Linked DNA regions of Neurospora crassa OR74A. The protein of the gene in region 1 interacts with the protein of each later gene in a pairwise test. Links are inferred from orthologs where the notes say so. Each region holds a gene or a part of one and is shown on either strand. Other genes may lie near its edges. The genes, in order: NCU02036 and mus-40.

Region 1 (2,824 bases):
CACTCGTTCGGATCCATGAGACTCTGGCACGTGAAGGTGGACAAGAAAGTCATGGAGGACTTTTGTCGTGATGTGATGGAACTTGCAGAGAAGCTCCTCGCCCAAGACGGTCTCATGGCTTCGGCACTTAGCAGTCCTCAAAGCATCTCGGCGACAAACGGTGACGACGGCTCAGAGGGCATGAAGTTGGTCCTGGAGCCGCCGAGAATACACTCGCTTCCCTTAGTGGACATGTTGCAACTCCGCGATAAATATCTTATCGCCGGTATTATCGAAATCACCAAGAAGTTGATCAAGCGTCTGCAAGACAACGGCATGGATCTTCCGCCAAAAACAGTCGCCTATCTCAACAATATGCTGAAGAAGAGGAAGATGACTGATGGGCGAACGGACTACCCCATAAAGACGAATCTCACCAACGAGCAACGGATCGAGCTACTCAAGGCGCTCGGGGACGATGCTGCCATCGAAGCGCAGTTCGTTGGTGGAAAGCCTGTGAAGCAGGAGGTCAAGCCGGTTATGAAACAGGCAAAGCTTGATTTCTCAAAGGCATCACTCAAAGACCACATTGCCTCGCTTACGCCTGCCTTTGAGAAGGCCACTGAGAGGCGGAAGAATGCTCTGTTGGAGACGATGAAGGCTGAGGCTCCAGCCAAGGCTCCTCCCAAAATCGACTCAAAGGCTGCCGACAAGATCAAGGAGGCTAGGCGGCTTGAGCGAGAAGCCAAGGCCAAGCGAGATGCTGAGGCCATCGCGAGGGCAAAGGCCCTGCGTGCGCCACCGAAGCTGGTCCAGGGAGAAGGCTCAGGTCTGGCTGGTGTTGCTGGAGTTCGTGGCAAAGACCACGCCCCAGTGCTGAAGGATGAGATCATGGTTGGTTCATCATCGGAAGACGAAGATGAGTCTGACGATGACGAGTTGATCACACTCCATGCCGCTGGAAAGAAGAATATGACTGAGGCCGAGCGTCGCGCCCATCGGTTGTTGGCTGAGAAGATGCGCGGACCGGTGAAGAAGGTCAAGATCGAGCGGTCCGCCAAGGATATGCGCGCTCGCCTTATTCCCCCTATGGATGTGTTGCACCAGGCCATCTTGGAGTGGGACATCTTCCACGAAGGTAACGATCCGCCGAACGGGTACCGTTGTGATCACGTCTCGGATACCTACCAGGACCCGGTCAGCTACAAGCAAACCTTCTTTCCGTTGCTCATCAATGAAGCCTGGCGCTCGTTTGTCACAGCCAAGGATGAAACCACGTCCAAGCCCTTTGGCATCAAGGTACTTAGTCGCATGACAGTCGACAAGTTCATGGAAGTTACGGCGTCGGTTCCAGTTGCAATCAACAAAGACCGTCAATTGTCTGAAGGAGATATTGTCATCATTTCCAAGGGCCAAAACCCGCTTCAAGAGCCAGAAGAGCTACACTGTCTTTCGCGTATCTGGAAGACAACTTACAAAAAAGACAATGTGGAGGTCGTCTACCGCCTGAATGCCAAAGGGAACCAAATTCTACCTGCGCTACTGCCTGGCTCGGAGTTTACCGTTGTCAAGATCACCAACATGACGACCATTGAACGCGAGTATGCCGCCCTGGAAAGTTTACAGTACTATGATCTTATGGACGAGGTATTGAGGGCTGAACCGTCTCCTATGCTGTCTTTTGGCGAGGAGAACATCAAGAACACCATGAAAAACTGGAATCTTAACCCAGGTCAAGCGAAGGCGATCCTGAACGCCAAGGAGAACGATGGGTTCACCCTTATCCAGGGTCCTCCAGGTACCGGTAAAACTAAGACCATTGTGGCAATGGTTGGCTGTCTTCTGACCGGCGTGCTCAAAAACCCTACCGCTGGGGTGGCCATTGGGCGTCCGGGACTCGGAGCTGCGAAGAACAACGCTCCAGCAAAGAAGCTGCTTGTTTGCGCGCCCAGTAATGCCGCTGTGGACGAATTGGTGTTGCGCTTGAAGAATGGTGTCAAGACCCAGAACGGAACAACTCACCAAATTGAGGTGGTCCGTCTCGGTCGCAGTGATGCCATCAACAGCGCAGTCAAGGATGTCACGCTTGATGAGCTGGTCAAGGCGAAACTCGAGGCTCAGTTGAACAAGGATGAAGGCCCGACTGACCGGGAGAAGCTGCACCAAGAAGCGGGCGAGATCAAGCAGAAGATTGCCGAACTCAGACCTCAACTGGAAGCAGCGCGCACGATTGACGACAGGCAGCTGGTCAACAAATATCAGCGGGAGTTCGACGAACTCAAGCGGCGCCAGGCGCACATCGGAGCGCGCATCGATGCGGATAAAGCTAGCGGCAACACATTTGCTAGAGAGACCGAAATCAAACGCCGACAGGTCCAGCAGGAGATTCTGGACAAGGCTCAGGTGCTGTGCGCCACTCTCAGCGGTAGCGGTCACGAGATGTTCAAGAACTTGAACGTGGAGTTTGAGACGGTCATCATCGATGAGGCGGCGCAGTGTGTGGAGCTCAGTGCGCTCATTCCCCTGAAGTACGGATGCTCCAAGTGCATTCTTGTCGGTGATCCTAAGCAGTTACCACCTACCGTTCTCTCGCAGTCCGCTGCACGGTACGGCTACGACCAGAGTTTGTTCGTCCGCATGCAGAAGAATCACGAGAAGGACGTACATCTCCTCGACACCCAGTATCGTATGCATCCTGAAATCAGCTCCTTCCCCAGAGCCGCCTTTTACGAAGGTCTCCTACAAGACGGTGACGACATGGCCAAATCGCGCCTCCAGCCCTGGCACCGCAGTACTTTGCTTGGTCCGTACCGCTTCTTCGACGTCCGCGGCTCGCAGGAGCGGG
Region 2 (3,921 bases), about 1.2 Mb from region 1:
TTTGCGTTGTTGGGTCCGTAAAGCTTTGAGTTCTTGTTCGTAGGCGGCTTGGTTTTCTTGAAAGGTTTTGTGGTTGAGTTGAGTGGCGAAGCGGGCGTGTTCTTCGGCTTCTTGGGCGAGGGAAGCGAGGAGTTCTTGTTCTTCGGGGTCGCTGAAGTCGTCTTCGAATTCGGAGAGGGCGGGGGCGTCGGGGTCGGGAACGATGTCAGTGGTGGTATCGTCTGGAACCGCCGCCAAACCTTCAACTCGTTCCTGTTGGGCAGGTGGAGGAAGGACGTCTTTGAAGAGGTCTGCTTCGATCTGGGCGTCTTCTTCGGCTTGAGTTGCGGGTGGTCCGAAGGAGAGGGTCATGGTTTGAGACGGAAGGGTTACGTCTTCAAACACAATGTCGTCGCCTTCTTCCTCATTAGGGGAGGGTGATTGACGGCTGGTTTCAACTGGCTCTTGCGACACTTCGTCGTCCAAAGAAGGCAAGCTAGGCCCCGGCATCTGAGTGAGCTTCTTGGGCGATGGAGGAGCATCGAGGATCTCCAAATCACCATCACTTTCATCGGATGACTCAATCATCATGACCTCATCCTCTCGTTGCTTTCGAATTCTGGCCTGCTCTTCTCGAGCCAAGTTTTCATCCTCCTCAGCCATCTGCCTGTCCTGTTCTCGCTGCTTCCGTACAGTGTCGCGAATGTCTTCGTCGTTATTCGCTAGCCATGGCGGTAGTGGACGAGGAGCATCCTTCGGCTCTTTCTCAAAACCGCCAGCATCGTCATCAGACTGAGGTTCCATCTCACCAGTTTCAACTGGCTTGGGCGGTTCAGACACCTTTTCCTTCTGAGATTTTGCTTTCGGTCGGTTGCCCCCAAGCAGTTGCTTCCAGTTCAGCTTCTCAAATGGAAGGGGACCTTTAAAGGGAGTGTTGGTAGGAGCAGGGCGGTTTTCGACCACTGGCTTTGGCGCTGGAGCCTTTGCTTGCTTCCTCCTGGCAGCGGCCATGGCTGCTCGAATATCCCCCTCGCTGTCACTGCTGTCGGTACTCTCCCTTCGCCTTGGGACGGCAGCACTCGCCCTGTTGTTGACAATGTGTGCGACCATGCGACCACTGGTACTAACAATGGGCTTGGGCGCTTCCACCGCTTTCTGCGTCCACTCTGGCGGAGTAACCTCTTCGAACTCCATATCCTCATCCTCCTTCTCTTCTGATAGACCAACACCATGCTGATTCTGAAGAGACATGGCAATAGCCTTGTTGAGGTCTTCTTCCTCATCAGCTTCGACCGCATTCTCCTCTCCATAGACGGCATCTTGTCCGTTGTCAACAAACAAGGCCTCGTCATCTTCGTCCTCGTCCTCCGCCTCTTCACTCTGTCTCGGCTCGTAGAACTGCCTCCTCGAATTCGCAGTCCCCCTCGGCCTGTAACCAGCAGCCCTAGTCAGCTTGGGCAACCGATTCAACCCCTCAATTGGCACGTCCTCGAACTCGACATCCTCTTCCGAATCCTCCTCTTCCTCTCCCTTGCCCTGAAACTGAAACTCGAGTTCGTCCACATCAATTGGATTGGTCATCTGTCCTTTATCCTTCTCTGTACTCACGACTCCCAGCGCATATCCGCCTTCGGCACCTTCATTCTTGACCAGGATATACTCCCTATTCTGATCGCCCGCCACTCTCGTCGCGTTGACTGCCAGCGTCAGATCCAATCCCGTCATGCCCATCTCGTACATCAGTCTCTGCGTCAAGTGATTCCTCTCCTTGACTCTCTCAATCTGAAACCGGCTGAAATCCATCCGGTTAGGGAACATGACGTCCAACTGCTCTTTACTCAACCCCATTCTCAATCTGCTCCGCAACCTCGCCGCATTCAAGATGTTGTACCGATCAGCCGGCGGCAAAGACTTGAAGAACTCGCCATCAAAGTCGATCTTGCTGAAATCGTACAAGTTGATATCCTCCCCGTTCTCAAACTGCCTAGCGTACTCTTCGAGTTCTTCGACAGACATGATGCGCGGATCATCCGGCTTGCCCATGGCTTCGATGCCGCCGTCGAGGTCAGGAAGATGGTAGGCGTCTTGCTTGTGGAAGCGTCGAGACTTTTGGCGTTCTTGTTTTGACATGCCTAATTCGTCGGCGTAAACGACTTTGTCCATGTCGGGCAGTACTTCCTGTTCTTCTTCTTCTGCTGCTGCTGCTGCTGCCGCCGTTTTATTGCCTTCTCGTGCCTCTGCCCTTTTGCGCCTCCGTTCGTCTTCCTCCTCTGCCATACGATGCATCTGCACCGCTAGTAATTTCCCTGCCGTTCGCGTGGCGTCATCGCGTCTGCCCTCTCGTCTTCGCCGGCGAGCCTGGATGGTGGCGCGCTTGAGAGCGGGGGCGCCGCCGTCAAAGACGAAGACGGGCTTGATGCCGTACCAGAGTAGTTTACATATTCGACGGAAAAAACCGACGACGTGACTGTTGCGAAGGGCGTTGCCTTCTTTGTCGCGGACGGCTTTGAGGAATTGGTAGATCCAGATGGAGGCGTCGATGGCGAGGCGTTTGCGGTTGAGGGTGGAGAGGTTGGTTGGGCGGGCACAGGGTTGGAGGACGGTCCAGAGGCCATTCACACCCATGGTGGGTGTTTACTCGGTATTGTGACTCGGTATTGGTAGTAGTGATGGTGGTGATGGCAGTGATGGTAGTGGTGGTGATGTTGATGTAGAAGAGGTCGTCAAGGTGCTCAACGAAGGGCGCTGTTAGTCGGCACAAACACGCTAACGGGGAGTGACGCCAGGGCAAAGAGATAGTTATAATGACCGAATAAGGTGCAGTTTTTCACTTTGGTCGTGTGAGGAAACTCATGGTAATAGAAAAGGTCAGAGGTAAACAATCACATTCAATTGAAGTGTATTGTAGTGGTGACGTGAAGAATTCCAGTGATGACAAAGTGCCAAGTTCACGCTCATCATCGAAGCCATGATGTTGACGGCGATCCGGCTGCTGCCTGCCGGCTGACTCTTATCGCTTATCGCCTGTCTGTTTATGCAATAAGCCGGATGCCTGCCCCATGATGCACTTTCCGAGAACAGAAGCTTGGGCCCAGGGTTGGCAGTGGTCAACACAAAAACAGCCCATTCCCTCAACCCTGAACACAACATCAACAGAAGTCAACATCAGAGCTCAAGACGGCGCGGGCGCTGAACACATCAACGGGCTCTACAACTTGTTCGGGGGTTACTTGGCTCGATCAAAAATACAATTGGAAAGCTCTTTCAGTAGCAACACCCGTTATTCATCACACACGGCATACGAGCATCATCAGACATTCACCGATTAGGCATCCATCTCTTTTATCCCGGCTTGCTCACTCACCGAAACCACCCCGGCGACAACACCTCACCTGTACACCACTTTCACATAACATAACATCCTTCACCATGAGCGAAGACCCAAACATCACTTTCCTCCCCGAAGACAGGGACGACGCCACAGACTGGCTCAACTCCCTCCTCAACAAAAACCTTCGAGTCTCCGTGACTGACGGCCGCATGTTCTGGGGCCAGTTCAAGTGTGTTGATGCAGTAAGCTTCCCATTCATCCCTTGTTACCCTTTCTCCCCTTCTTACTTCTTTTTTCATCTCTAATTCCCCCGTCCCATATTCACCAAATCACTCACACACATATCAACAGGAAAGCAACATAATCCTCCACTCAGCCTACGAATACCGCTTCCCCACCTCTTCCCAAGTGGCCGCCGCCGTTACTTCCTCTTCTTCTGTTACCCCCACCCCCACCGGCACGACAATCACCTCCTCCTCTGCACTCTCTGCACCTTCAGACTCAGATCCTTCTCTCTCAGCAACTCCCCAAGAGGCCTACGAGAGCGCCACCAGCTCCTCCTCCTCCTCCTCAGCAGGAAAAGTAAAAGTCGACCTCACCTCGCGCCATTT

What was found.
Region 2: the proteins of NCU02036 (region 1) and mus-40 interact in binary tests that used the Saccharomyces cerevisiae proteins (3 or more experiments, as listed by UniProt). The link is inferred for Neurospora crassa OR74A from reciprocal best matches to the Saccharomyces cerevisiae genes SEN1 and RAD2.

The regions. Positions count from the first base shown.
Region 1 is NC_026501.1:1,602,010-1,604,833, reverse strand, and holds part of NCU02036 (tRNA-splicing endonuclease), read left to right. Parts: coding exon 1-2,824. UniProt on the Saccharomyces cerevisiae protein: ATP-dependent 5'->3' DNA/RNA helicase required for the expression and maturation of diverse classes of non-protein-coding RNAs like precursor tRNAs, rRNAs and small nuclear (snRNA) and nucleolar (snoRNA) RNAs.
Region 2 is NC_026501.1:403,399-407,319, forward strand, and holds the start of mus-40 (DNA excision repair protein Rad2), read right to left. Parts: upstream 2,901-3,921; 5' UTR 2,605-2,900; coding exon 1-2,604. Other genes in the region: NCU07497 (hypothetical protein), read left to right, coding at 3,409-3,552, 3,662-3,921. UniProt on the Saccharomyces cerevisiae protein: Single-stranded DNA endonuclease involved in excision repair of DNA damaged with UV light, bulky adducts, or cross-linking agents. Essential for the incision step of excision-repair.